Linked DNA regions of Elephas maximus indicus. The protein of the gene in region 1 interacts with the protein of each later gene in a biochemical or structural test. Links are inferred from orthologs where the notes say so. Each region holds a gene or a part of one and is shown in the gene's direction. Other genes may lie near its edges.

Region 1 (7,551 bases):
ACCCTAATATTCATATCTTCTCCCTCTTCTCCTGTCACATCAGCCCTCCCCTCTGGTTGTGAGGTCAAAAGCTGAGGGTGCTCAAGGCGCTTCCACAGACAGAGGGTACCTGGAACCTACACACACTTGCTCTACGCCTGGACTGCAGCTGTAGCTCGCCATCTTTATACAGTTCAGCCTGCTGAACAGACATGGGTTTTATCTGTATTTCCTGGGCAGAGCAAATGTAGAGTCAGAATGGGGCCATAATGGTATTATCAATGGCGGACCACTTAGGGATGGCCTAGTTGTCAACCCAGAGATGGAATGATCACACCTTTTGACCTAGCTACTCTCTAAGTTAAACTTTCATTTATTCTGTCACACATTCCATTTATTCTATCTACATTTAATATATCTAACAGGTTACTAACTTATTTATTATCTATATTTAACACATCATATGGACTCCGGCTAGATCTCACAACCTACTTGCTTACTCATCATTCATTATCTCTTAAACTACTAGCTTCTTTACTCTCTGTGCTTAACACTTTTTATGAGTTTCACTCATTCTGTTTTTCTTGTCCTCTATATAAGAAGTGAATATTTTCAAATCCAGCACCCTCCCATTACAATAATGTTTTTAAATATATAAAGTGAAATATATAGTATTAAAAAAGAAACCAGTTATATTGAAAATACAGTTCTACTGAAAGACATCCTGTGTTCATGGGTTGATACACTTAATAGTCTAAGATGTCAACACTGCCCAAAGCAATCTACAGATTCAATGCAATCCCTATCAAAATTGCAACTGCCTTTTTTGCAGAAATGGAAAAGCTGATCCTTAAATCCATATGAAATTGCGAGGGGGCCCAAAAAGCCAAGGAAAACTTGAAAAAGAAGAATAAAGTAAGTGGACTAAACACTTTCCGATTTCAAAACTTGCTACAAAACGACAGTAATCAAAACAATGTCGTACTGGTATAATAATAGACATATAGACCAATGGGATAGAATTGAGAGTCCAGAAGTAAACCTATACGTCTATGGTTAATGAATTTTCAACAGAGTGCCAAGTCCATTCAACAAATGGTACTGGGACAACTGTATTTCCACATACAGAAGAATGAAGTTGAAACCCTACCTCATGACATATACGAAAATTAACTAAAAGTGGATCAATGACACAAATATAAGAGCTAAGCCATAAAACTCTTAGGAGAAAAAAGAGGGGTAAATTTTCAGAACCTTGTATTTGGCAATAAATGCTTAGATACGACACCAAAAGCATGACCAACAAAAGGAAACATATATAAATGAGACTTCATCAAAATTAAAAACTTTTGTGCACCAAAGGACATATCAAAAAAGTGAAAAGACAAGCTACGGAATGAGAGAAAATATTTGGAAGTCATACATCGGATAAGAGTTTAGTATCCAGAATATGTAAAAAACTTATACAACTCAACAAATAATCCTATGGAAAATGAGCAAAGGACTGAAATAGACAATTCTTTTAAAAAGATATGCAAAAGATGCTCAACATCATTAATCATAAGGGAAATGCAAATCAAACCCACAATGAGATGCCACTTCACACCTACTAGGATAGCTGTTATCAGAAAAAAAATGGGAAATAAGTGTTGTCGAGGACGTAGAGAGATTGCTGGTGGGAATGTAAAATGTCAGGAGCTGCTCTGGAAAACAGTTTGGTGGTTCCTCAAAAAGTTAAACATAGAATTACCATAAGCCCATTGCCCTCTAGTAGATTTCGACTCATCCCATGGCCATACAGGACAGAGTAGAACTGCCACACCCGGTTTCCAAGGCTGTGATCTTTATGGAAGCAGACCGCCACATCTTTCTCCCCCTGAGCGAGCTGGTGGGTTTGAACCAACCAGCCTGAACCTTTAACCACTGTACCACCAGGGCGCCTTGTTAAAATTAACAGCAATTCCATACCAGCAATATACTCAAAAGACTTGAAAGCAGGGATACAAACAGATATTTGTACATCAATGTTCACTGCAGCACCATTCACAATGGCCAAAAGGTAGAAACAACCCGTTACTGGAATAAGGTTCTTGCCTCTCACTGGTCAAGAATGAACAGGCTAAGGCACGCAGAATTTTCCACATAAGCAAAGCTTTATAGAAGACGCTTGCAAGCAGAGAAGAGGATGGCCTAGAGCAACGCATACCCCGTCTCACAGAACAAAAGACAGGCTGGGTTTTTAAAAGTTCTTGGGCGGTAAAAGACTCATGTTTATTAACACAGGCGGAGATAGTTAACTACAGTGCACGCACAGCAGCTTTCCAAGATAGCTCCTGTCCTGGAGGCCTCTGAGATTTGTAGCAGGACTTACGATGGGGTGTTGCGCCCGCGCAGTCACTCGCTCCAGCGTTTGATTCCCTGGCTGCTGCTGCAGCCCCTCACTGCCCCTGGTGCAAGGTCACACAGCAGGTCACAGGTAGATGTTCTGCGCATGTTCCTGGGGCTGGTTTTCTCCAGCTGCTTCTGAAAAACAACTTTAAAGAAATGTGTGGGCTATTTTCTGATACCCTGCCCCATTCTGGGCCCCATTGTTCTGGAGAATGGCTTTGTTTCTGCGCCCTGGCCCATTTCCTGTTACTTCACTTGCAGATTTGGGGGGCCCTCTATTTCCTGTGTTCAACCCAAATGCTCATCAACAAGATGAATAAACATATGTGGTACATAAATTAAAAAAAAGAAAAAAAAATTTTTTTTTAGTGGAATAATTACTCAACCATAAAGAGAAATGAAGTTCTGATACATGCCACCACACGGATGAACCTTGCAAAAAACATTTATACTAAGTGAAATAAGCCAGACATAAAAGGACAAATATTGTATGATGTCATTTTTACGGAATGTAAGTAGCAAATGCATAAAGAGAGAAAGTAGACTAGTAATTACCGTGGACTGAGGGTAGAATGAGGAGCTTTTTCTCAATGGGCACAACGTTTTTCTTTGAGGTGGTGAATAAGTTTCGGAAACAGTGGTGATGGTTGCACGACATTGTGAATATAATTAATGCCACTGAAGTGTACACTTAAAAATGGTTAAGATAGGAAATTTTATGTTCTGTATATGTTTTACCACAATAAAAAAAAAATTCAGCTCTGCATTAAATAACAAGATAAATCAACTCAGCAGTACCGGGTTTGGGTTTTTTTGTTTGTTTGTTTGTTTGTTTGTTTTGGTATGAGGAGGTCTAGTAACTACCGCTCGTGCAAGTACCGATGAACTTAAACAGTAGTTTGAATTATCTCCAACAACTGTAAAAACCCATTATCATCAAGTTGATTCCAACTCCTAGCAACCCTATAGGACAGAGCAGAGCTGCCCCACAGGATTTCCAAGGAGCCCCTGGTGCATTCAAACTCCCAACCTTCTGGTTAGCAGCCGAACTCTTAACCACTACACCACCAGGGTTTCCAACTGGCATAAAGTGATATGAAAGTATGTGACACTGTATATCACACTGTGACCCCACCCTGAATCCTCCCCCAACCCTTCCCTTCAACAGCAGATACTGGTATTGCTAATACTCCTGGGATTTAAATTCATAATGAGCAAGAGTCTGAATTTCAGTTCGTCTTCTGTCCCAATGGTCTATGGACTTCAGGTTAGAACACCCGCCAAGGGTCAGTTCGGGTTGACCTCCCACCACACGGTCCACCCTACAACAGATCAGTCATATTCAAGAGCCACCCAGCATCTTCCAGAACAGACTTGCCCTTCGCGGGCAAGAGGACACACTTGAAAAAGGGCTACCCATTGCCATGGAGTCCCTGCTGACTCATAGCAACCCTATAGGACAGGGTAGAACTGCCCCATAGAGTACCCGAGGCTTTATGGAACCCAAATGCCATGTCTTTCTCCCGCAGAGCGGCTGGTGAGTTGGAACCGCCAACCTTTGGGTTTGCAGCCAAGCACTTAACCACTGCGCCACCAGGGCTCCTTATAAAACGGGCAAGAAAAAAGAAGATTTTTTTTTTTAGAGGGTAGAATTAGAGTAGTAAGAGCAAGTAAGCTTCTCTGGAAGACAAAATGGGTAAAAGGAAGGGGACTGGTCCTTCACAGACGGTTCGAGCCCCACCACCATCCCCCTCTGGCAAACAGCAGCTGCTCAGAAAACGCCGCTTCGGGCGCACAGGAGACACCGCCCACCCGCGACCCGCAGGGGGCGCGCGCGTGCTGCCCGCCCGCCCCGTAAGCGCAGGCGCCGGGGACGTTCCCGCGGCCAGGCATCAGCAATCTATCGGGGAGCGCCGGGTGGTCGGCGCGGCGTGGTCGGCGGGGGCGGCGGCTTTGGGCGCTGGGGCGCCTGCGGTGGGCGGGCAGGCACGCGCGGGGCGGACGGGGCGGCGGCAGCCGGCGGCGGCAGCGTGTCTTCAGGTGGCGGCGTCGGGCTCCAGGAGCTGCAGCGGCACGAGGAGGAGGATGGCGGAGTCCTCGGACAAGCTCTATCGGGCCGAGTACGCCAAGAGCGGGCGCGCCTCTTGCAAGAAGTGCAAGGAGAACATTCCCAAGGACTCGCTCCGGATGGCCATCATGGTGCAGGTGCGGCCCGGAGGCCCGAGCTGGGCGTCCGTTGCGGCCCCGGCGGCGCGGGCCGCTTTGTACCGAGCGGGTCGAGCGGCGGGCGCAGCCCCTCCCTGAGAGCGCGAACCCCCCACTCGCCCCCGCAGTGTTCAGACGTGGAAGGGGCGGGTTGGGGAGGGTGCAGGCTGGAGAGCTGGCCCGGAGGGGCGAGCAGGGCCGGGAGGGGCGAGCAGGGCCCGGAGGGGCGAGCAGGGCCGAGAGGGGCGAGCAGGGCCGAGAGGGGCGAGCAGGGCCGAGAGGGGCGAGCAGGGCCCGGAGGGGCGAGCAGGGCCCGGAGGGGCGAGCAGGGCCCGGAGGGGCGAGCAGGGCCGAGAGGGGCGAGCAGGGCCCGGAGGGGCGAGCAGGGCCCGGAGGGGCGAGCAGGGCCCGGGGCCGCCCGAGCCGCTGGCCTGGGCCTGTGGGCGCCGCTGCTGCCACCATTCCTCGCGCGCTGCGTGGCCCGCCCGGGGACATTCCCGGACGGTTTTGTTGATCTTGCAGCAAAAACCCGGGAAATCTGGGGCTGCTGGTACCTTTTGATTTTTAAAAGTCGCTTCTGCCCTTGTTTAGGGCGGAAGAGCTCTTGTTTTTTCTTTTTACTGTCCGCCTTAGGGGGGAAAATAGATATGGTCTTTCGAAACTAGGCTGATTTTTTTTTTTAACACGTTATTTTTTCGAGCAGTTTTAGGTTTTCGGAAAAAGTGAACCGACTAGAGAGCTCCGTATCATCCCCTCCCCGCTGCACAGTGTTCTCCCCGTTATTAACACCTTGCAGTGGTGTGGTACATGTGTTACTGACGATGAACCAATGTTGATAAACTTAACTAAAGCCCGTAGTTTACGTTAGGGTTTTACTCTGTGTTGTATGTACGCTCCTGTCGGTGTTGACAAATGCGTAATATGTCCACCATTACAGCATTGTACAGAATAGTTTCACGGCCCTAAAAATGCCTTGTGCTCCACCTATTTATTCATCCCTCTCCCTGACTCCTGGCAACCCCTTTCACTTTGCTTGTAGGCTTGACTTTTTCCAGAATGTCCATATGGTTAGGATGGTACAGTATATAGTGTTTTCAGACTGGAAGCTAGCCTAACTTTGACCTACCTTGTGCTGGAAGATTTTTGTCCTACATTGATGCTGGCTGCTGACATGGGAGAATTTTTTTTCTTTTTTAAATCTATTTTTGGCTCTCATGTCAGCGGCCTGCTCACCCTCATTTTGAATCTTAATTTATGCAAAACTATGCAAGTTGGTGTAGTCTCTGTCCAGTACACGCCCTGCGGGTCTCACATATGTTTTAAAATAATATATCCCAGGTTCACAGATGTTCCCTTAATGCGTTTACAGCTGTCTGCTATGTGTAGAGTGGCTCTGGGAGGGTTGGTCATCTGGGCTTTTTGACCAGTCAGGGGTTCCCCCTCAGTGCCCTAAGGGGTTTTGGAGTGTACTGTGAGGTGGTGTGTCTTAATGCTCCTGCTAAGGGCTGGGGGTTCCTGCCTGCTCCAGCTTACAGTTTGCTGATGTAATTCTGGCTCTCACCTAGCTTGGTGCTCAGCATCAGTTAACTGTTTTCCTCCCTTGCAGCGAGACAGGAGTGTGTGTGAGGAATGACCACATAGCCCTCACTGGATATTCAGGACTTATGGGGTAGAGGTGTGGGAGACAGTACACATTAATGAAGTGGGTACCCAGTGCCAGGTGTACTTTATTCATTTCATAATATGGCAGTTACTGAGGTGGTTATCTTGGCATCCTCAGGACCTACCTAGTTCTGTACCTGGCATATGTATTTATTCAGTAAACATTTACTGAGCACTTGTTAAGTCCCAGGCACTGTGTTAGGTGCTAGGAACATAAAGACACACTGCTGGTCAGGGGTGGTATCCCCCTCATGGAACTGTGTGCCCAAGAGAGGAGGCCAAGAGGTCGCGCAAAGTGTGGGAGCTTGAAAAGGAGTCATTGTGTACAAAAGTGGGGCACAGGAAAATGAGGATAGAGGAGTAGCCTGGACCTGCAATTTGAAGAGCCATTTCTCCCATTAAGGGGCTTTGAATGGGGCATTGGTGCATCGGTGGTAGAATTCTCACCTCCCACGAGGGAGACCTGGGTTCTATTACCAGCCAGTGTACCTCGTGTGCAGCCACTACCCGTCTGTCAAGTTTGTCATACTGTGGTAGCTTGAGTGTTGCTGTAATGCTGGAAGCTTTGCCACTGGTATTTCAGATACCATCACAGTCACCCATGGTGCACAGGCTTCAGCAGAGCTTCCCAAACAAAGACTAAGAAGAAAGACCTGGCAATTTACTTCCGAAAATTAGCCAGTTAGCCAGTGAAAACTATTCATTACAAGGAAACATTGTGAGATTCACAACCTATCATGGGGATGGCACAGCCACAGGCAGTATTTCTATCGTACTTGGGGTCACCGTGAGCTGGGGCCAACGTGATGGCAGCTAACAATGATAGCAGGAGGTTTTGAATTTTACCCTCAGTATATGGGGAGCCTGCTCTTATGAAGTCCCATCTCAGTGCAAGGATTCTGCAGGGATTCTTAACCTAGGGTCTGTGGGATGGTGGCTGGAACTCAGAAGAAATCCATGAATTGGTGTGGGAAAATTTTTTACATCCCTATTTTTACTAATCTCTAGATGAAATTTAGTATTTCCCCTAATAACGAATGTAAGCGTCAGAAAAACAAACCCATTGCTGTTGAGTCAATTCTGACTCATAACGACTCTATAGGACAGAGTAAAACTGCCCCGTAGGGTTTCCAAGGAGCGCCTGGGTGGATTTAACTGTTGGCCTTTCGGTTAGCAGCTGAGCGCTTAGCCTTTGCGCCACCAGGGCTCCATAAGCAGCAAAGCAAAGGCCTGTTAGTACCCTTGATTTTGTCACCAACGTTAATTGCAGATATTTAATATCGCTTTATAGTTGTTGATTTCTCAAGTTATCTACAA
Region 2 (8,321 bases), on another chromosome or scaffold:
CCTCTAGTGTGCCAAAGAGAAGCTGTTCATGGGGAGTTGTCTCACTGCTGCCAGGTGAAGGGGGTGCCAGAAGAAGTTACTGGCCACTGGGCACAGCAGGAACTGGGCACTGGGAAGCCATCGTGCTGCAGGAATTTGGGGCTACAGGAACACACCAGAACCAGGAAACAAAATCCCTTCATTTCACAGTCTCTCCAGTGCCCTCTACTGGCAAAAGAAAAGGAGCCCAGGTGGCATAGCGTTTAAGCACTCAGCTGCTAACTGAAAGGTCAGCAGTTCAAATCCACCAGCCACTCTGTGGAAGAACGGTGTGGCAGTCTGTTTCCATAAAGGTTACAGCCTTGGAAACCCTAAGGGGCAGTTCTATCCTGTCCTATAGGGTAGCTATGAGTTGGAATCAACTTGACAGCAACAGGTTTGCTTTCAAGTTGGCAAAAGTAAAATACTTACGGGTGCAGTCTTATTTTCACAGCACAGGCAAAAAGGGTGAATTTGGAGCTGAGAGGCAATCAATAACAGGTACAAAGGAATTCCTCATTCCAGGAGAGAGGATTCTGCCTGGACCTTGACTGAGGAAGATGCCTCATTGGTGGGGCTTGAGTTTTCCTACCCAATCTGCCTCACTGACTCAGCAGTAGCCAGAATTTGAGTTTGGGCCTGAAGTCATTAAGAGTGGCATTTCTGTTAATCCTGGGATATCCTTCTGTGGAGCCATAGCCTGGGCTGAGTTGTCCTGTGAAGAATTGGAGGAGTAACCACTGGTGACACCATTTGGGGGTGCTGTGACCAGCAGATCAAGGGTTCGGGGCTGACTAAACAGAGTTAGCTACAGCAGCCTGGCGACCAGAGGACAGAGGTGGAGGAAAGGTCTAGAGGGATTGGCCCAGGAGCTCCCGCCTGCCCCAACTCCCAGGTCAACCCTTAGGAATCCATCCAAATAGTGGGGACTTGGGGGGATTTTTCTGAAATGGGGGGGAAGGCTGATGTTATAGTCATGTGAATATCAAAGGCAAACATAAAATAATGACATGGTCCAAGGCTATGGAGACACAGGAGATACACTTAGAAGAGAATAACATTTAGATCCAAAGAGTCAGTACAATTACTATTGAGGGCAAAGTTTAAAATTGTTTATTTCCTTCTGTATTTCCATGATTTTACATGATATGGGGATAATCCTGACTCAGAGCAACAATTTTGGAGTTCCCCACTCCAGCCCACAATAAAGAACTGAGAAAAGAAAGTTTCCCTTCCAACCACCTTTCCATTTGGGCCAGCAATGAATTCCTGTGTGCTAACATATTTTAACACTCCCATGATATAATTTATTGTACAGTCTTCTTGCAAATGGTAAGTTCATCATTTTTCTAGGTAACCTGATTCTGACACTAGCAAGTTGGGGATGCAGACAACTTCTCTGAGCCTCAGTTTCTTTATCTATCAAGTGAATGGAGAGATTAGTTGCTAAGACCACTTCTAGCTCTAACAGTGTGTTTCACTATAAAACCTGTTGCCATCAAGTCAATTCCACTCATCAGGAATAACCCGCAAAACTTAGATTTACAAATTAGATAAACTAGAGAGCAATTTATTTGCTTTACTAACAGGATTCTTTATTTCTCAAATGATTCACAACCGAATTTCTTTTAAAAAATTTACTCAGTGTCTTTTCAAGAGCATTTTTCAGGAATACGGTATTAAACAGTAATGCTGCCATTCTACCACATTAAATAGTGACTGTACACATGGACCTCACTGGATGGAATACACAGGAATCAAATTGACTACATTTGTGGAAAGAGACGATGAAAAAACTCCGTATCATCAATCAGAACGAGGCCAGGGGCCAACTGCGGAACAGACCATTAATTCCTCATATGCAAGTTCAAGTTGAAGCTGAAGAAAATTAGAACAAGTCCACAAGAGCCAAAGTACAACCCTGAGCATATCCCACCTGAATTTGAAACCATCTCAAGAATAGATCTGATGCATTGAACACTAGTAACATCAAGAATAGCACACACAAAGGAAGCAAAAGGTCATTAAAAAGGCGGGAAAGAAAGAAAAGACCAAAATGGATGTCAGAAGAGACTCTGAAACTTGCTCTTGAACACAGAGTAGTTAAAGTGAATGGAAGAAACGATGAAGCAAAAGAGGTGAATAGAAGATTTCAAAGGGTGGCTCAAGAAGACAAAGTAAAGTATTATAATGACACACTCAAAGACCTGGAGTCAGAAAGCCAAAAGGGAAGAACATGCTCAGCATTTCTCAAGCTGAAAGAACTGAAAAAAAAATTCAAGCCTCGCGTTGCCATACTGAAGGAGTCTATGGCCAAAAAATTGAACAATGCAGGAAGCATCAGAAGCAGATGGAAGGGATACACGGACTCATTGTACCAAAAAGAAGCAGTTGACACTCAGCCATTTCAGGAGGGAGCATATGATCAAGAACCTTTGGTACTGAAGGAAGCTGCACTGAAGACATTGCCAAAAAACATGGCTCCAGGAATTGACAGAATATCAACTGAGATGTTTCAACAAACAGATGCAGTGCTGAAGGGTCTCGCTCATCTATGCCAACAAATTTGGGAGACAGCTACCTGGCCAACTGACTGGAAGAGATCCATACTTGTGCCTATTTCAAAGAAAGGTGATCCAACAGAATGCGGAAATTATCAAACAATATCATTAATATCACAGGCAAGTAAAATTTTGCTGAAGATAATTCAAAAGCAGTTGCAGCCATGTAGCCACAGGGAACTGACAGAAATTCAAGTCAAGCTCAGAAGGGCCATGGAATGAGGGATATCATTGCTGATTATCAGAGGGATCTTGGCTGAAAACAGAAAACACCAGAAAGATGTTTACCTGTGTTTTACTAGTGCAAAGGCATTTGACTGTGTGGATCATAACAAATTATGGATACCACTGTGAAGAATGAGGAGTCCATAACAATTGTGCTCATTTGTGTACACAGACCAACAGACAGTTCTTCAAACAGAACAAGGGAATACCGTGTAGTTTAAAATCAGGAAAGCTGTGCGTAAGGGTTGTATCTTTTCACCATACTTATTAAATCTGTATGCTGAGCAAATAATCCAAGAAGCTGGGACTATTATGTAAAAGAATGGGGCATCAACATTGGAGAAACACTCATTACCAACCTGCAATATGCAGATGACACACCCTTGCCTGCTGGAAGTGAAGAGGACTTGAAGCACTTACTGATGAAGGTCAAAGACTACAGCCTTCAGTATGGATTACACCTCAAAAAAAAAAAAAAAAAAAAAAACACCTCTACAGAAAGAAAAATCCTCCCGACTGGATCAATAAGCAACATCATGATAAAAGGAGAAAATACTGAAGTTGTTAAGGATTTCATTTTACTTGGAACCATAGTCAATGCCAATGGAAGCAGCGGTCAAGAAATCAAATGACGTATTACATCGGGTAAATCTGCTGCAAAAGACCCCTTTAAAGTGTTAAAAAGCAAAGATGTCACTATGAGCACTAAGGTGCACCTAACCCAAGCCATGGTGTTTTCAACCACCTCATAAGCATGCAAAAGCTGTACAATGAATAAGGAAGAGTGAAGAATAATTGATGCATTTGAATTACAGTGTTGCGGAAGAATACTGAATATACCATGGACTGCCAGAAGAACGAACAAATATGTCTTGGAAGAAGTACAGCCAGAATGCTCCCTAGAAGCAAGGACTATGAGGCTTGTCTCACATGCTTTGGATATGTTATCAGGAGAGACCAGTCCCTGGAGAAGGACATCATGCTTAGTAGACAGTCAAGGAAAAAGAGGTAGACCTTCAACAAGGTTGACTGACACAGTAGCTTCAACCATGGGCTCAAACATGATTGTGAGGATGGCACAGGACTGGGCAGCGTTTTGTTCTGTCGTACATAGGGTCGCTACGAGTCGGAGGCAACTGGATGGCACCCAGCAACAACAGTGCAACCATAATTGTAACTAGTGTAGCTGCCGGTTACAAATGTTCAGGAATTCAGGATTTTTACGTAAGTTAATCAATCATAATAAGTTATCCCCTTACGCTTGTCCAAGCCCAGTCTTTCTTCAAATCAAGAAAATGCCCTTTACGTGGTGAGATTTTAGAGACAACAGTGAAGTCTTAGGCCCAGGGAAAAGCAAGCAAGCAAACAAAAAGATACAGTTCTTATCTGACATCATATCATAAAGGTTTCATGCCTTTGTCTCAAGGCTTCGAGAGTTCTTTTTTAAAGCGAATATCTTTGGTATGAATAAAACCATAATTTCTTTACAGATATTTACAACGTCAGTGTGCCTGGGTTAATTAGTTGCTCTCCTGAGGGGTCTTGAGAGAAAGGTGTTGGAAGCCGAGGGGTGAAGACAGACTGGAGGAGAGGCTGGTAGAGGCGGTAAGGGTGAGGTAGAACCACTGGGTACGAACTCTCTCCTATCCTTGATTTATTCCCGGCCACACGCTCAGTGCCTGACGCATGGGGGCGCTCAAAAAATATTTCCTGAAAGATTCTGAAGCTGCTTCGCCCAAAACTGGCTGTGTGGCAAGGTTGGAACCTGAGAAGGCTAAGCTGGCATCCTCGCGCCCACGAGGGCAAATTTCCAAGTGGAAGCAACGTCTGGGAGCCGGGAAGACCTCAGCAGATCCCACGGCTGGCCGGAGGGGGCGAAGGTAACTGTTATAGATATAGGTCCGGAGCGGCCCGAGGGACAGGAGCAGCACAGACTGGGGTCAAGGGTCAGGCTGGGGACGAGCCCTCTGGCTCTGGGAACTCGGTATCCGCGGTGATGCGAAGGCCAAGATCGAGGTCCTACTCTAGGGGCAGCCGCGGGGGCGGCGTTGGGGACCGAGGGTGGGTGGTCATCGCGACCGGATCACTTTGCGCGCCGCTGAGTCTTCAGGGAGCGCTCCCCTGGGTCACTGTAAAAGCGGCACTTTTGCAGAATAAGCGCTTCCCGGAACTGTGCGCGCAACGGCGGGATTTAACTCCGCAGACTTCGTGAGGCACGCTCTCGGGTGCGAAGAGTGCCCTCTTCGGGGATGGTGCGCGCTCTCCCCGGCGGTGCGCGCTCCCCTCGACAGTGACACAGGTCATCTTGCGCGCCGTCAATTTTGGGGAGCGCCGGGTCCCGAATCAGGGGCGGTACCCGCAGTCTCGCTCGGCTCCGCGCCCTGCCCCGGCGGCTCCTCCCCCTGAAGCACGCGGGCTTTTACTTTCGCTTTCGCTACAGCGGCCCCTCAGACCCCCGCACCGGAGTGACCGACGGAGCGGCTAGCTCTGGCTGCCCGACGGCCTTGGGAATGGTAACTGCGGCCTCCCCTCCGCCTGCCCTCTCCCTCTCCCTCGCTCGTTTCATGCGTGGTTTCCGCCGTTGCGAGCGCAGTTTGGAGACAGCTAGGAGCGGGGTGGTGTGGTGGTAGGAGCGGGGAGGGCGGCCCGGACGACAGGCGTTGAAACTTTGGGGGAACGGTTTACCCCGCCCCTAGCCCCGCTTGCTTTGCTCAGCTTGTCCTCCCTTCCCTCCTTGCCAGGGGGCTTAGGACACCCCATACTATACGGATTTTGCTAGAATCCCGCCTCCCCGCTTCTGCCCCCCGGCCGCAAAATCTTTTGCGGTCGAGTCGATTGCGAATCATAGCGACCCTAGGTTTCCAAGGTGCGGCTGGTGGATTCGAACTGCCGGACCCTTTAGTTTGCAGCCGCGCTCTTAACCACTGCGCTGCTAGAAAGGAGGGGTGCGATGTCTGGCACCGCAGTTAACACCAAGGACTCCAGGTCAGAGAGGCCTGGTGGAACCAGTCCCCTCACTTCTGCTTGCCGGCTGTAGGACCTTGACCTTGTCTGTGCCTGCCTGTTAAATGGGAATGATGGGATCCCGGGCTGAGGGTGGCTGCAGGCATGGATGGAGGTGATGGTGCACAAAAGAGCCTCAGTCCAGGCTCAATACCTGTAAGCTAGTACCCTCATTGTCGGACTAGCCTTGCTGCAGGGGCTCATGGAGTGGTCTCGAGGAGGTGAAAAAGGCCTGTGGACTCCCAGGCTACAGGCGACCTTGCAACCCTTCACCAGTGTACCCAGCTTTGTGGTTTATGGGGCAGTAAAGTTGCTTGCAAGAGCCATGGTGGCACAGTGGTTAACCACGGGGCTGCTAATCAAAAGGTCAGCAGTGCAAATCCAACGCTCTTTGGAAACCTGTGGGGTAGTTCTCTTCTGGCCTATACGGTCTGTCAGAATCCACTTGATGGCAACGGGCTTCGGTTTCGGTTTTGTTTTCAAGTTGCTTGCGCATGACTGTGGATGAGTCATGCGCCACCCTTTTCTCGGAAACACTTGGACTGGGTGATGTTTACTTAAGGGCTATTTCCTCCTTTAGGATCTTCTAGGCAACCAGCCTGACCTTCGTCCTCAGTATCACAACCCAGGTTCCAACACCTGGATTCAGAACCCATCTTCTGCACCTCTTTACTGTGTGGTGTTGGGCAGGTTACTTAGCCTCTCTGAAGAAACCTAGGTTACCTCAGCAAAACAGAGGGCAAGGTTCAAGTCTCCTGGCAGTGTTGTGGGGAGCAGGTGATACAGTGGAGCACTTGAATGCCCAGGAGAGCTGCCCCCAGGTGCAGAGGTGACAGGTGAAGGTCACCAGGGCTGCTTCTCTTTGAGCCCTGTAGAAAGATTGCCTTTATTTGGTCAAGAAGTGCAGCACAAATTGCATCATGTTGCTTTTCAGGAGAAACAGCTGCAATGAGTCCATTTTCTCCCTCATGAAAAAAAAAAATCCAAGTTCAGACAATGCTGGGAAGTGATTTCTTACCCAGATATGTACCAGTTGCCCTAATATGGGGGCAGTAATTAAGTGTGTTTTGAAAGAGTCACTAGAGGAATTTTGTTTCTGTCTTCACAAAAGCTGTTTAAAGCATGGACGTGGTTTTAAAATACCAGTGCAAGTAGATGGTCCAATGTCTCCTTAGTCTTGAGTTCTGTGGACAGTGATGATAATAGGGCTACTTATTGAACATTCAGAACGTGTCACAGTGTTCACAGCCACCTGTGACTTAGGTGCCAGGGTTTGCCCATTTTCCGGATAAGGAGACTGAGACTCAGAGACGTTGAGTACTTTGAGGTTTCATGGCGGAGTGTGGAGGAGCTGATTTGACCCCAGATCAGCTGATTGCCGTGCCTGGACTCTCAACTGTCCTCCTGGGTCCCTTTGGTTCCGTTGTCTGTCCTGTGTCAGCAGTTTATTCTGGCACTAAAGGATTTAAAAATGCATTTCAGTTATAACATTCATAAAGAAATATTTCTTGAGTGCCTGCCGTGTGTGGGGCACTTTTCTGTGCCTGATTGTCATGGATTGAACTGTGTCCCCCAAAAATATCAATTTGACTAGGCCATGATTCCCAGTATTGTGTGATTGTCCACCATTTTGTCATCTGATGTGATTTTCCTATGTGGGGTAAATCCTATCCCTACAATGTTGATGAGATGGGATTAGCGGCAGTTATTTTAATGAGGCAGGACTCCATCTACGAGATTAGATTGTATCTTAAACCAGTCTCTTTTGAGATAGAATAGAGAGGAGCGAGCAGAGAGACATGGGGACTTCATACCACCAAGAAGCCAGAGCTAGGAGCAAAGTGCATTCTTTGGACCCGGCGCCCCTGTGCTGAGAAGCTCCTCGACCAGGGAAGATTGATGACAGGGACCTTCCTCCAGAGCCGACAGAGAAAGCCTGCCCCTGGAGGTGATGCCCTCAATTTGGCCTTGTAGCCTACTAGACTGTGAGGAATAAATTTCTCTTTCTTAAAGCCATCCACTTGTGGTATTTCTGTTACAGCAGCACTAGATAACTAAGACACTGATAAAAGAAAGATGATTAAGATACACTCTTAGTCTGCCAGTAGTCAAGAGTTCTAGCTGACGTTAGCATTAATAGTAATAGGAATGACTAACAGAGTGTCACTGTTAGTGCTTTGTCTATCGTATTGACTTTTAAAGAGAAGGTAGACATGTTTAACAATCCAGTAAGGAGTATCCCTTGGATGACTGCTCTTTGCACCGTGGGCCTCCAGAAGGGGACAAATACAAGGAAATGGTGCCAGCAAGCTGTTTCCGGGTGGTGTGGCAGACTGAGATAGGCCTGGAGTTTCTTGCTGTGCCATGAGGATGAATGGAAATGAGGGGCCCATTTATACCAAGTCTTGGTTCTTGAGGCAGCTTCTTTCTTGATTGAAATGGTGTGCCTGGGATCAGGCACCCCACTCGATCACCCCCCTGGAGTATGAATGCCCTTTGGCTGGCTCCAGAAAT
Region 3 (6,475 bases), on another chromosome or scaffold:
GAGAACTGAGGTGATACAGCTGGTGTAAGGAGTTCCCAAACAGGTCCGATTAACCACTATATAACTCGCTACCTCTAAAGCTTGACAAACTGTCTTCCGTCCAGCCGTAAACATGTCTGGTCGCGGCAAGGGAGGTAAAGGCCTCGGCAAAGGCGGCGCTAAGCGCCATCGCAAGGTCCTAAGAGACAACATCCAAGGCATTACCAAGCCTGCTATCCGGCGCCTGGCGCGGCGTGGCGGTGTCAAACGCATCTCCGGGCTTATCTACGAGGAGACCCGCGGGGTGCTCAAGGTCTTTCTGGAGAACGTGATCCGCGACGCCGTCACCTACACCGAGCACGCCAAGCGCAAGACAGTCACTGCCATGGACGTGGTCTACGCGCTCAAACGCCAGGGGCGCACCCTCTACGGCTTCGGAGGCTAGAGATTTTGTCTACGTTCTATTCCCCAAAGGCCCTTTTAAGGGCCACCCACAAAATCTGTTAAGGAGCCGGGTACACTTTGAAAGTCAAAAGTTCCTTAATGATAGCTGGATCGTGTTTTTAATATACCTTCGGGGGTTTAACCAAACACTAAGGAAGAGAGTAGTTTAAATTGATAGTAAGCATTAAAGCAGTTACTCCCCTTCCGTTTGGCACGCCGGTAACAGCGTAACCAACGTCTCCGAGTCAATGAAAAATCCTGGGTCGGTAGACTAGCGCTGTTGGCCAAATGCATGCCGCATGTGTCATTGCTCCTTTGTCCTATGACTGCTTTCGCGCCACTACATCAGTTCGCGGTACAGCATGGCTTGCAAAGCCAAAGGTAGTGACTGTAGATCGTTGTGTTAAAAAGCATGATTTTTAAATTTTAGAAGTACTAACATAGCACACTCGAATTTCGACCCACATTAGAAGCCCCCATTTACGAGTCAGTTTCCTTAATCTCAGTTGTTCCTTTAATGTTATTCAATAAACTTTGTCCCAAGAATTCAGATACTCAAGCAAACAGGATTCTCTTGTAATTTAGATAGTGCAAACTCCAACAAGTTTTTTTTCTCTTAACCAGTAAAATACTTTTTTTTTTACATTTCCTAGGCTGAAATAGTGGCCCAGTGTTTAAGAGCTCGCCTCTCTAAACAAAAGATCAGAAGTTTGAATCCACCAGCCGCTCATTGGAAACCCTATGGGGCAGTTCTACTCTGTCCTAGAGTCCCCATGAATCGGAATCGACTCGACGGCAAAGAGTTTGGTTGGTTGATGTTTTTTGTTTTTAGTCTGAAGTGGGAGCGGGAAACATTTTGTATTAGGGGATTAATCTGGGGGCCAATTCCGCTTGCGTAGGCTAAGGCGGAGCAACAGTAGACGGTCCAATCAGAACGCGAGAGTCACTATAAATAATGCCACGACCACCTCATACCTTAGTCTCTCCAGTGCAGCAGTCACGACTCCTTACTCATGGCCCGAACCAAGCAGACAGCCCGCAAGTCCACCGGCGGCAAGGCGCCCCGCAAGCAGCTGGCCACCAAAGCTGCCCGCAAGAGCGCCCCGGCCACCGGCGGCGTGAAGAAGCCCCACCGCTACCGGCCCGGCACCGTGGCGCTGCGCGAGATCAGGCGCTACCAGAAGTCCACCGAACTGCTGATCCGCAAGCTGCCTTTCCAGCGGCTGGTGCGCGAGATCGCGCAGGACTTCAAGACCGACCTGCGCTTCCAGAGCTCTGCGGTCATGGCGCTGCAGGAGGCGTGCGAGGCCTACCTGGTGGGGCTGTTTGAGGACACCAACCTGTGTGCCATCCATGCCAAACGTGTCACCATCATGCCCAAGGACATCCAGCTGGCCCGCCGCATCCGCGGGGAGAGGGCATAAACAGTTCTCAATATTTTTCTCTAAAAGGCTCTTTTCAGAGCCCCTCAATTCTCTCCAAGAAAGAGTTGTTAAACTTCTAAAACACATACTGATATCTCAAAAGTTTTTCTTTTCTTTTGCTTAAGTCCCTGCCACACCGATAGTTACGCAGGTAGATTATTCTAGGGTGTAAAATAGCTGTGCGTTTTGCAAACCCCCAACTTAACACATTGAGGGTCGGCAAGTATAATTGTGCAAAAGCAGATGAACTTTCCCAAGGTACTTTATCACTATGCATGCCATTGTAAGGAACCGAACAAGTGACCTTACACTGTAGTTTTCTGTATGTAGGGGTTGGGGAGCAAGGCCTGGAGACTTAACTACCGACAACACTTATCTAAAATGAGCTGCCTCTAAAGTTATATGAAAATTATTTGCCGAGACTTTATCAATGCTCTTGTTATACCTCTGTGAAGTTGGTTTTCATGATTTTTTTTTTCTTCAGATACAGAAGCACAATGGAAATTAAAAGCCCAAAATGGCAATTGAAAGCAGTTCCTGGTCTCTGCACGTAGAGTTCAGATTTTCTAACAAGCACTCCATTTATTAACCTTATCCAGTATTTTACCTGTATACTACCATCACTACTTCATTTTACTGTTGACTTTTTTGGGTACATATCTTGAGTTCAGAAGGCGGCAAAGAGTTATATTAAGGCAAATTTTCTTCTGTTTTGGCACAGATCAGCAATCTCATTCTCTACCACCCTTTCCTCAATTTGCTCTTCCAAAGGGGCTGTAGTCCTAGCCACTGGTTCTTTCTAAAGATTTCAGAAACTATGGAATTGGTTCACAAAAACTGTTCAGAGGGAGGAGGTCAGGAGCCTCTTCCTACAGATTCTCTAACCTAGAGCTCCTTTAGTATCTGTCTGCTAGGGGGGTACCAAAAACCAAGCCCGTTGCCATCGAGTCGATTCCGACTCAGCGACCCTATAGCAACCCTATAGAGCAGAGTAGAACTGCCCTGTAGAGTTTCCAAGGAGCGCCTGGCATATTTGAACTGCCGACTCTTTGGTTAGCAGCCATAGCACTTAACCATTACACCACCAGGGTTTCCGCGGGGGGCGGGGGGGGGGATCAATTTACTGCCTATTCCAAGCTTCAAAAATAGCCTTGCCCTCGGTCCCCACTCCACCCTCATCACTTTCCCAGCATAATAGTGTGAGGCCAGATGATCTAGGTTCAAATCCCAGAGCAGATAGTTGCTAACTTTATAACCCTGGGCAAGTTAGCGATCCACTCTCTAGGCCTCAGATGTGCAGCAGTGAAATGTGACAGATAAGTAAAAACCTGTAGTGCAGCATACTAAGAATGTTCTCTGGCACTTAGTAAATGCTTAATTTATTGTTATCTCCTCTCCCTACTTTAAACACAGCACCTCCCTGAAAGTTTTGATTAAAACCATAGAAATTACTTGGTTAGAACATTTACTTGTTAAGATCTCCCTTTCATTAGTTCTCAATTTGCACTGTTTCGAAAGAGTCTTGTAGTAATAGCATACCATCATCTGTGTCTATGTGGAGGCGTCCACAACACAGCAAAAGGACCAGATGGTGAGAACTTTAAGCTGTGCAGGTCACATATGATCTCTGTCATATATTCTCTCTTCCTTCTTCCCTTTCTTTCATTTTGCAGTCCTTTAGAAAGATAACTGTTCTTAGCTTGAGAGCTATAAAAACAGGCACTGTCCAGATGTGGCCCACAGGTGGTACTTTGCCAACTATTCCAGGTGCTCCCGGAGGGAAGATAAAGTGCATTGGCCATTTGAGCCTCCCCCCCCACCCCCACTCCACCCCAGGTTTTCACTGGCAAGAATTGACTGTTGGTTGCATCAGAGATTTGAATCATCATTTGATCTCCTTTATCAAGCGGCCATAAAATCTTTTCATTTCTTCCCTTAAATAAATAGCAAACTTCTCCAACCTCATAGTCATTGCCTCAGTTCTCTTCAAAGTTAATGTTTTCCTGAATTCTTCTGAACCCCTGTAACCTCCAGCCCCTCCATACCTAATCTAACCTTCTCAAAATAGCCTGTTATTTTTCTAAAATATGCATCTGTCAGAACTTAAACACACACAAATGTTCACATTGATGTCTCCTGGCGTCTTGCAGAAAATGATTTTCGCAACTATGCAACTGGTTCAGTGTTGGTGAACATAAGAGGCTTAGTAAGAGCACTAGGAAAAATGTATTGAAAGCCTGATAGGATCCTGTCATCTAAACGTGCACTTCATTCTGGAAGATACTGTGAGCCCTCGAATAATTTTCAACAGGTTTGAGAGATTTTTCTAAAGCAAATTATCAGAGGCAAGCATTTTTTGGTCCTCATTTTCCTGAATTTGCCCAAGAACGAGAGAAAGCATCTCGATCAGATAGCATACCAAATTCGAATTTAAATCTGGGCTTTGGAATCTGAAGCAAGAGATCTCCGCTCTTGCTGCAACGGGGAAGAAGTCACACTGGCAACTGAGTTTTTCCAAGCTGCAAAGTCCTTTTTCTCTAAAGATATCAGCACGTGGGAACTCTGAAAAGGCAGAACAGATTTTTAATCTGGGGCGGTAGGAAACCAGTTGCTCTATATCTGTGTTACTTACAACACTTAGAAACAAAGTTTATACCAAACGCAAGAAACCTAGTGTCTTCCCTCCTGTATAAATCAAAAGCTGAACCTCTGAACAAATCCTTTTAGAAAACTTTTGTTTAATACTTAGTAGAAATCTACTGCAACATACAACTAACTATCGCAATGACCCCAACCGGGTGGATCCACACTCAAAGCTAAAGGGTTTTTAAAAAATATCTTTCAACGTCTGGTCACGATTCATGAAAACACGAATAAGTTTGTGAACCTGGAGGCTCTTTTCCTCCTTTAGAGCTTCAAGGAGCCAAATTCTGCACCGTTGTTTTTCTCATTTAATCAAATTTTGGCGACTAACAAACACAACTTGGGAGTCCAACTCCGAGAGGCGTCTGCCCGAGGGCGGTGGATTGGACTCTCCACCAATCACAGGCCAGGGCCGCCTTATATAAGCCCGGGGCTTGAACGAGCCAGCATTGCAAAACTTGCTCTCTTTGGATTTGAAACCTCTCCTGCAATTTCTCCTATCGCCATGTCGGAAACGGCTCCCACTGAGACTGCCGCCCCGGCACCAGTGGAGAAATCCCCCGCCAAGAAGAAGGCAACTAAGAAGACAGCTGGGGGCGCCGCGAAGCGCAAGGCAACCGGGCCTCCGGTCTCCGAGCTGATCACTAAGGCTGTGGCCGCTTCCAAAGAGCGCAACGGTCTCTCCTTGGCCGCGCTTAAAAAAGCGCTAGCCGCTGGCGGCTACGATGTGGAGAAGAACAACAGCCGCATCAAACTGGGTTTGAAGAGCCTGGTGAGCAAGGGCACCCTGGTGCAGACCAAGGGCACTGGCGCCTCGGGCTCCTTCAAGCTCAACAAAAAGGCAGCCTCCGGGGAAGCAAAGCCCAAGGCCAAGAAGGCTGGCGCCACCAAAGCCAAGAAGCCCGCGGGGGCCACTCCTAAGAAGCCCAAGAAGGCAGCTGGAGCCAAGAAAGCCGTGAAGAAGACTCCGAAAAAGGCGAAGAAGCCCGCGGCGGCAGGTGTTAAGAAAGTGGCCAAGAGCCCGAAAAAGGCCAAACCTGCCGCCAAGCCGAAAAAGGCTGCCAAGAGTTCTGCAAAGCCAAAGGCAGTGAAGCCTAAAGCAGCCAAACCCAAAGCCGCCAAGCCTAAGGCAGCTAAGCCCAAAGCTGCAAAGGCTAAGAAGGCGACTCCTAAGAAGAAGTAGGTAGTTGGCCTGGTGAAAAGTCTAAACCCCAAAGGCTCTTTTCAGAGCCACCCAAATATCTCTGACAAAATAGCTGTACACTATCCTAAGTATTTCGGTCTTTCGTTATCCCATTTTCACTCATACATTAGGTTGAACAGTGTTGAGGTTTTCCCCACTTTTAAATCTGAGCATTTTTACTGTATGCATGCATCTCATCCATCTTTAAAACGTTACTTGAAGGAAGCTTATTTAAAAAGCCCGCGCCATTCTCCGATTGGCCAATAACTGCCACATTGTCTCTTCGGCGGAAAATTTTATGCAAGAATGTGCTACGTGCCCCCCAGTACACCACATCTAAAAAACCTGTTGGGGGGAGTTAATATTTTTTACACTTTTGATTTTAAAAAGGGTGACACATCTACTGGAAAATCTTACTGACACCTACCGGACCTAAGATAAGTGACCGTAAATGTTGTGCTTTTACTGGCAAATACTGACTATAGGTTTAGGGTCGCTATTGAGCCGGAATCGACTCGACGGCAATGGGTTTGGGTTTCTTAAGTGACCCAACTCTTCCACAGAAATAGTGGGTGGCTCTGAAAAGAGCCTTTTGTTTGGACACTGCTATTTGGGACCTTATTTGCCCTTGGCCTTGTGGTGGCTCTCAGTCTTCTTGGGCAGCAGCACGGCCTGGATATTAGGCAGGACGCCGCCCTGCGCGATGGTGACTTTGCCCAGCAGCTTGTTGAGCTCCTCGTCGTTGCGGATGGCCAGCTGCAGGTGGCGCGGGATGATGCGCGTCTTCTTGTTGTCGCGGGCC
Region 4 (8,398 bases), on another chromosome or scaffold:
AATGACATCATATGGTATGTGACCTTTGAGATTGGCTTTTTTTTTTCTCCTCCCTTCTCAGCATAACACCCTCCAGATGATCTTGTCCTTTTTAAATGAGTGGCAAATAATATTTAACAATTTTCAGTGCTTTTAACATGCCAGGCACTAGACTACACGTTTTATAAAAAATCAGTTGCGTCCAGTTGACTCCAACTCATGGCGCCCCCATGTGTGTCAGAGTAGAACTGTGCTCCATAGGGTTTTCGGTGGCTGATTTTTTGGAAGGAGATTGCCAGGTCTTTCTTCTGAGGTGCCTCTGGGTGGGCTCGAACTTCTAACTCTTTGGTTAGTGTTAACTGTTGGCTCCACCCACAGTCTTCCATATCTCAGGCAAAAGCAATTGGAAGGGAAAGACTCTAGAAAGGCAGGGAATGTGGAAGGAGAGTTCAGAACTTCTGTTATCAGCTGTTTTGAGTCTGGGGGTGTGAATGGTTAACAGGCTTGGGTGTTCACAGAAAAATTGGAGGTTCCAGTCCACCTGGAGGTGTCTGGGAAGAAAGGCAGGGTAATCTGCTTCTGAAAAAAATCAGCCATTGAAAACCCTATGGAGCACAGTTCTACCCTGACACACAGGGTCACCTTGAGTCAGAGTTAACTCCCGGGCAACTGGTACTGGTTGGTTTTCTGCACCAGGCCCTGTGTTGGCTGCTTGGCAGAGGGGGAGAGGAAAAGGGAGAGAACATTCCAGGCCGAATAAACAGAGGGACGGAAGCCCACAAGGGGAGAAGGAGGCAGCAGAGCGTGAGAAGGTGAGAAAGTCAAAGGGAGTTTGGGTCACAGGAGCTCTGCTACGGGTCGCACCATGTAGGGCAGTGGCCTGCAGGTAGTTCAACCCTTCCCCTAAAGGAGTGGCTTCCAGAAAAGGAACTGAGTCCAAAAGCAAGACGAAGGGTGTGGACAGTGAGTGGTGGGAGGGGAGAGGGTTGGGGGTTGCTGAGAAATATCCTGGGGGTGGGGAGGTGAGAAGGATAGACAAATTTCTTGACTCTTGATTAGATTACAGACAGATTCCTCAACCCTGATTAGATCAGGGGAAACCCTGGTGGCATAGGGTTAAGTGCTACAGCTGTTAACCAAGAGGTTGGCAGTTCGAATCCACCAGGCGCTCCTTGGGAACTCTACCAGGCAGTTCTACTCTGTCCTATAGGGTCGCTATGAGTCAGAATCGACTCAACGGCAGTGGGTTGGGTGGCTTAGATCAGGGCTGTCTCCAACATCTTTAGGGAATCCCCATTTTTGTCTCTTTGAGCCAGAAAATGTGATCTGTGATGGGAACTCTACCAGGCAGTTCTACTCTGTCCTATAGGGTCGCTATGAGTCAGAATCGACTCAACGGCAGTGGGTTGGGTGGCTTAGATCAGGGCTGTCTCCAACATCTTTAGGGAATCCCCATTTTTGTCTCTTTGAGCCAGAAAATGTGATCTGTGATCAAGATTATATGGTGATATAGAAGTTCTTGGGTTAATGCTTTCCACTGCTAACCAAAAGGTTAGAGGTTCGAGTCCACCCAGAGGTACCTCAGAAATAAGGCCTGGCAATCTACTTCTGAAAAACCAGCCACTTAAAACCCTGTGGAGTGCAATTCCACTCTGACACACATGGGGGCGCCACGAGGCAGCGTCTACTCCATGGCAACCGATGTCCTGGGATGGAGACGTAGGAACATATACATTGTGTTTACATTGTTATCTAGTTTACTTGTTACCTGTACTTATTGTGTATTTACATTGTTACCTATTTTAAGGCGCTTTAACACTAAACCTACGAATTTCACAGGTATACTTGGCCTAGACCTGATTCAGTTTACTTCAGTGCAAAAAAGGAAGTCAAGTTTCTACAGCTATGTTGCTAGTCGGCCTCTAAGAGATTCCAACTCTTGGCAAGCCCGAGTGTGCAGAGTAGAACTACTCTACAGGGTTTTCAAGACTGTAACTTTTTGGAAGCAGATCCCCAGGCCTTTCTTCTGAGGCACCTCTGAACAGCTTGAAGCACCAGCCTTTTGGCTACTAGTCACATGCGTAACCATTGTACCACCCAGGGACTCCTTCTATACCTATTAAAAAAACAAACCAGCTACCGTCGAGTGGATTCCAATTCCTGGCAAACCCATGTGAGTTAGAGTAGAACCATGCTCCGTAAAGTTTCCAATGGCTGGTTTTTTGGTAGTAGCTTGCCAGGCCTTTCTTCCAAGGTGCCTCTGGGTGAGTTCCAAGAGGTAACCTTTAGGTTAGCAGCTGAGCGGTTAACCATTTGACCACCCAGGGACTCCTCTGTACTTACACCTATATGTATATCACCTAACAGTTCAGGTGATTTGTGATCTTGGCTAAATTGGGAAGGATATGACTAGACTTGATGAATTCTGATTTAAAGCTGGCTGTATAATGGTCTTGTGGGGATTTAACATTTCCTCTCTATTTTTTCTGTCCTTAGTTGCTGTCAAGCCCACTCTGACTCATGGTGACCCAATGTGTGTCAGGGTAAAACTGCTTCCTAGGTGGTATGGATTGTCCCTCTAAAATATGGAAACCTTGGTGGTGTAGCGGTTAAGTGCTATGGCTGCTAACCAAAAGGTTGGCAGTTTGAATCTGCCAGGAGCTCCTTGGAAACTCCACGGGGCAGTTCTACTCTGTCCTATAGGGTCCCTATGAGTCAAAATCAACTCCAGTAGTAGGTTTTGATTTTTTGGAAGCCTTCAATCATGATTCCATTTGGGAATGGTCGTTTTTGTTATATTAATGAGGCAGGATTAGCATAGGGTGTACCTTGAGTCAATCTCTTTTAAGATATGTTGTTGGTAGGTGCTCTGAGTTCCATTCCAACTCATAGTGGCCCTCCTTACAACAGAATGAAATATTGCCCAGTCCTGGACTATCCTCGCTATTGTTGCTATGCTTGAGCCCATCCTTGCAGCCACTCGTCAATCTATCTCATTGAGGGTCTTCCTCTCTTTCATTGACCCTCTACTTTACCAAGCATGATGTCCTTCTCCAGGGACTGGTCCCTCCTGATAACATGTCCTAAGTACGTGAGATGTAGCCTCGCCATCCTCTCTTCTAAGAAACATTCTGGCTGTAACTTCCAAGACAGATTTGTTCCTTCTTCTGGTAGTTCATGGTATATCCAATGTTCTTTGCTAACACCATAATTCAAAGGCATCAATTCTTCTGTCTTCCTTATTTATTGTCCAGCTTTCATATGCATATGAGGTGATTGAAAATACCATGGCTTGGGTCAGGCACACCTTAGTCCTCAAAGAGATGCCTTTACTTTTTAACACTCTAAAGAGGTCTTTTGCAGCAGATTTGCCCAAGGCCAATACGTATGTCCTTTGATTTTGGGGTGCTAGCTCTCGTGGGTGTGGTGTGTGTGTGTGTGTGTGTGTGTTTAGCTCTCGTTAGGAAACCCTGGTGGCATAGCGGTTAAGAGCTATGGTTGCTAACCAAGAGGTCGGCAGTTTGAATCCACCAGGCGCTCCTTGGAAACTCTATGGGGCAGTTCTACTCTGTTCTATAGGGCTGGTATGAGTAGAAATCAAGTCAAAGGCAACTTTTTTTTTTTTTTTTTTTAAGCTTTCATTAATTGCAATTTGAATTTGTAGGGCAGGACTTTTGCCTGTTTTGTTCACTGCTGTGAACCTCAGGCCAAATCCAGAGTGGATTCTGTCTTTACTTAAAATATTGATATTTTATTTATCATGGAATTTTTCTGCATTTATTTCGATTTTTAAAATTTTTGCATTAACATATTTACCTTGATCACAGGATTGTTTGGTGCCTCCTTAATTTTTCATAAAATTTAACTTTGTTTTTGGTGAAAATATACACAGCAAAACATGCTCCCATTTAATGGTTTCTGTTTGTCACATATTGTTCAGTGACATTGGTAACATTCTTCATATTGTGTCAATATTCTTGTAATTTCTGCTCTAGTTATTTCACCCCCATTAATTTAGGACATAATGCTTGATAAAATAGAGGGTGAGCGAAAAAAAAACCCTCAAGGAGGTGGACTGACACAGTGGCTGGAACAGTGGGCAATGACTGTGAGGATGGCAGTGTTCCATTGTTATATACATGGGGCCGGTATGAGTCGGAAGTGAACCTATGGCACCTAACAATTTAGACTCACTGCCCACTAAGCTCTTCTATGCTTTAGAGTTACTGTTGTCGCTTTGGTCTCATATAGTGTTGTTTTTTTTTATCTCAATAGTTAAGGATGGTATTCTTTTTAAGCTAAACTTTTTTTTTGTTTGTTTGTATAAAGATGACCTCAGGAGATGGTTTTGGTTCAATGTTTGAAGAGTATCTCAAAGCAACAGTATCCGGGGGTTTCTCCAGTCTCAATGGGTCCAGGAAGTCTGGATTCTTTGGGAATTTGAAGTTCCAGTCCACCTTTTCCCCCTTGCTATCAGGATGCATCTAATGTGTCCCAGATAGAAACGTTTGGTAACAGTAGCTGGGCACGGTGCAGTTCTGGTCTCATGTTAGAGGAAGTAGTGGTTCATGGCGCCTCCTTAAATTTTGCGCCTGAGAATTAGCATCTCAGGGGATAGGTCTTGAAATAGAATACATTTATGTCCTCTTTCTTCCCGCTTTGGACACAGGAAAGAATGAGATCCGCTGACTATGGGCACTGGGGAGCCAAGGACAGCGTTTGAGCTCGGGAGGTTCAGGTCAGTGCAGAGCCGGAATTCCGAAGGGGTGGGTGGGGGAGACAAAACGTGGGGGGAGGCGCCTGCAGAAGGACGCGGGCTGCACGAGGGGCGGCGTGTGTGGGCGGGGGTCCAGCGTTTCTCAGGCTGGCCGGGCTGGGGGGCTGCAGAGCCCGCCCCCCGGCCAAGGACCCGGATGTGCGGCGCTTGGGGCGCCAGGTCTGCACCGCGCTGAGTGCACTGGCGTCCGCTTCAGTGGAGCGACCGTCCCCTCCCCCCACGCCGCCAGGCGTCCGGGCACCTACCTGGCGGGCGCCCGGCGCAGGGAGCCGCGGCACCTGGCTGCACTGTTGTCTGCGCCGCCCCACGCTCCCTCCCTCCCCAGATGGGCCCAACCTTCCGCCCCCACCTGCGCTGGACTCTGTCCCTTTAAGAAGCGAGACCCTGCCGCGGGTGGGCGTGGTCACCGCGGGCGAAGGAGGGGCGGCTTTGGGCCGCCCTGATTGGCTCGAGGCCCGGGCGCGGCCGCGCGCGCAAGCGCAGCGCGCAGGAGCGCGAGCCGCGGGGGAGGAAGCCGCGCGGGCGCTTATTGGCCCCGGCGGCGGCCCCGCCCGCGAGTGGCGGGCGGTCACGTGACGCGACGGCTGGGGGTCCCGGCGCTGGGGACGCTGGTGGCCAAGATGGCGGCGGAGCTGGTGGAGGCCAAAGTGAGTGAGCGGCGGCGGCGCCGGCCCGGGCGGGCGGGCGAGGGGGCGGGGCGCGGCCGGGCGGCGAGCCGGGGCCTGCGCCTTCCGCCCGGGGCCCTACAGCGCGGCCCGACGCCCGGGGTCCCCGCGTCGGCCCCGGTCCGGGTCCGGGGCTCGGGGTGCGGGCGGGGGCGGGGAGGCTGGGGGCGGGGTCCCAACACCTCACCCCCATCATGCCGCCCGGAATCGGGGATCCCCCAACCCGCTGCGAGGTGCCGCGATCCGGGGCTCCGTAAATACAGGAATAGGGCCGCTCCTCCCAGCTTGAGGCAGGGTCCACCCCGGACAGCGTGATGGCTTGGGGTTCTCGTCCCCTCCTCGTCCCAGCGGGGTCCGTGCTCTTGGGCCGGGAGGAGTGTCTGCGTCTCCCTTGCGCCCCCTCCCCATGCCATAGAGGGCTAGGATCTGGGGTTTATCCCTCGCGCAGTGAACCAGCTTAGAAGGGTCCCCTGACTGCAGCCGTGTGCTGCCACCGCCACCAGCCCAGGCTGCGGGACCAGGGTCCTAGATCACCACTAATACTGAGTCCGCTGGCGGGCTGTGCCCCAGGCTTGGTTTCGGGGGCCCCGCTGGGGCTCCTGCCTGAGTCCCGGAGCCCCGCCCCCTGGGGCTGAGCCATTCCCTGTTGTGGGTCAGAGGTCTCAAATCCTTCATCAGCCTCACGCCGTGGGTACTGCTTTCTCCTTCTTATTCCCCTCAGGACAGCATCGGGAGTGACTGACCCCGTTTCTAGGGGTTCTAAACCCCACGCTCATGCCATCAGATGCCACTTCCAAATCTTGGGTGTTTTTCCTGTGCTCTGTAGTAGCAGCAAACTTCTTGGCCTAGGATATCTTCCACCTCACCCAGCCCCAGGACTGGTCCTTTAAGTGGTTCCGATGTGGCTTGAGTCCCTCTTTTTTCCATATATTGGTCCTTGGAAGGTCCCCAGCTGGTTCCAGGAGAGGTAGGTCCCTGGGCTTCTTCCCGACACCCTGGATCAAGGATCCAGGCTCTGCACCCTCGGAGATGGTGGTCCCCTCTAGCAGCTTGGGGTCCCTTCTGACCATCCTGGGATAAAGCTGAGAGCATCCCTACCCAGGAATCTGCTTTCTTCCAGATCCTCCCAGAGGCGAGTTCCCAAAATGTTTGCCTTGATTCAGAAGTGACATAGGATAGAGGAGCCCAGAACTTCTCTTAGGACCTCATCACAGCCCTGCCCCGCCCCTCCTGGGGTGCCCTCCCCAAGGCTCCAACCTGCAAATGCATGCTTTTTTCTGCCCCTCCCTCTCTGCTTCTGCCTCCGTTTCTGCTGGGATCTGAACACAGCTCTCCTGGTTCTGGGATCATAGTGTGTATCTCCCCCCCAGACCCCCGCAGTCCACAGTCCCCACACCCCACATGCTTCTGCACTTCCGGGGCGATGGAGAAATCGCCACTTTGCCCTGGAGATGTGACAGCAATCACCCCACTTAAAGTCCCCCCAGAGCCCTGAAATCTAAAACTTCTCATGGGGCCATGGAGCTGTGACCCCAGACCCCTCCACAGCCAGAGGGTAGGGGCTGTCCTTTCTTATACTGTCCTGGACCTTGAAATGTGATCTCATGAACTCTGCTTGACCCATTGGCGGCTGGGGCCCCCTAACCCCAATTAAATCAAGTTGACCCTTCTTTCAAGTCCTGTAAAACGTGAGCCTCCCTTTGGGGAACTTGGCTCCAGCAAAGCTTCCCTGATCCTGGGCACCTTCTCTATCCTTTAGTCTTTTGTCGTGGTCCGGTCCCCGCGCCGCCCCCCCCCCCCCCCCGCCAGCTTAGAGTGCCTTAGATGCAGTGGAAATGCCCTCTGTTTTTCTTTATCTCTGGGACTCCCGAGAGGCTGCTCCCCTCTCTCCCCAGACCCTCCTATTTTCGAGCTGGATATTTGCTTTTGGGTGCAAAATAGAAGTGGGGTTTGTCTATAAACTTTGAAATCTGAGACTCTTCACTTGAAAACCACGAGGTGGGTTTGGGGCGGGGGTGGGGGCCATAGCAGCCTTCCACCATCTCCTGCATCTGCGTCTTGCCTTTTTCTGGAGCACAGGCCCACCACCTTTCTCTGATCTTCAGAGGAGCGCACGGCGGAGACAGGGTTCAGCACGGCTACTGGAGCTGGTGTCTCCACGCGGCATCCAAACACGTCCACTGTGTTCTGGAAGCTGTTCGTAGAAACAGTTCTGAGAGGCAGAGGGTTCTGAGAGGCGGGTGGGCCAGGATGAAGCCGCAGCAGGAAGTGCTCTCTGCGGCCTGTGAGGTTCTTTCTGAGCATCCATCCCCCCCGCCCTGCACCCCCATCAGCAACAAGGACAGGCTGCTCAGTGGTGGCAGCTGCTGGGGAATTTGAGGCATGAGCCTATGGAAGCCTGAGGGGTGTGCTGTCAGCTGCCTGTGCCGCCCTGTTCCTGCCTGGCCTGGGCGAAGGGTGCCTGGGGGCTCTCAGGGGTGGACTGATGCCGCTCATCGGTGTGGTCACGCTCACACACTGCTTATGGCTTAGTAGTGGGTGTCAAGTTGCCGCATGGTATCACCTCTCCCCTTTCAGGCCTTGGGGGTCTTCCAGAAGAAACATCTGCGTGTCTTTTTTTTCACTGAAGTTAGGAAGCTTCTGGACTCATTGAGGGCCAGCAGGCTGCTCAGGTCCCTGGGCAGGGGGTGTCCTGGTGAGGAGGGATCTCACAACACCCAGGCAGGTGGGCAAAAGCGGAAGGAAGATGGCCTCAGGAGCCAAAGGCTGCTGGCTCTGCCACTTATAAGCAGGGTGGCCTTGGGCCAGCCACTTCCCCTCTTTGAGCCTCAGTTTCCTTACTTGTGTAGCAGGTGAAGTTGTTACGGGATTTGCAATGTTAAAAGCTCCTACCTGGTGCCTGGCACATGTGAGGCACCGTACGTCTGCAGTGGCAGGAGTAGAGGGATGTGGGGAAGCCCCCATCTGATTTTTGTAG

The links.
Region 2: of the proteins of PARP1 (region 1) and CASP7, one has a biochemical effect on the other in vitro, tested with the Homo sapiens proteins (3 studies listed by BioGRID). The link is inferred for Elephas maximus indicus from reciprocal best matches to the Homo sapiens genes PARP1 and CASP7.
Region 3: of the proteins of PARP1 (region 1) and H1-5, one has a biochemical effect on the other in vitro, tested with the Homo sapiens proteins (2 studies listed by BioGRID). The link is inferred for Elephas maximus indicus from reciprocal best matches to the Homo sapiens genes PARP1 and H1-5.
Region 4: of the proteins of PARP1 (region 1) and PIAS4, one has a biochemical effect on the other in vitro, tested with the Homo sapiens proteins (3 studies listed by BioGRID and IntAct, with this or other methods). The link is inferred for Elephas maximus indicus from reciprocal best matches to the Homo sapiens genes PARP1 and PIAS4.

The regions. Positions count from the first base shown.
Region 1 is NC_064842.1:16,084,868-16,092,418, reverse strand, and holds the start of PARP1 (poly [ADP-ribose] polymerase 1), read left to right. Parts: upstream 1-4,242; 5' UTR 4,243-4,452; coding exon 4,453-4,572; intron 4,573-7,551. UniProt on the Homo sapiens protein: Poly-ADP-ribosyltransferase that mediates poly-ADP-ribosylation of proteins and plays a key role in DNA repair.
Region 2 is NC_064834.1:64,640,285-64,648,605, forward strand, and holds the start of CASP7 (caspase-7), read left to right. Parts: upstream 1-4,991; 5' UTR 4,992-5,314; coding exon 5,315-5,317; intron 5,318-8,321. UniProt on the Homo sapiens protein: Thiol protease involved in different programmed cell death processes, such as apoptosis, pyroptosis or granzyme-mediated programmed cell death, by proteolytically cleaving target proteins.
Region 3 is NC_064819.1:78,899,069-78,905,543, reverse strand, and holds H1-5 (histone H1.5), read left to right. Parts: upstream 1-4,951; 5' UTR 4,952-4,995; coding exon 4,996-5,673; 3' UTR 5,674-5,706; downstream 5,707-6,475. Other genes in the region: histone H2A type 1-D, read right to left, coding at 6,292-6,475. UniProt on the Homo sapiens protein: Histone H1 protein binds to linker DNA between nucleosomes forming the macromolecular structure known as the chromatin fiber. Histones H1 are necessary for the condensation of nucleosome chains into higher-order structured fibers.
Region 4 is NC_064821.1:7,059,100-7,067,497, forward strand, and holds the start of PIAS4 (E3 SUMO-protein ligase PIAS4), read left to right. Parts: upstream 1-5,264; 5' UTR 5,265-5,376; coding exon 5,377-5,403; intron 5,404-8,398.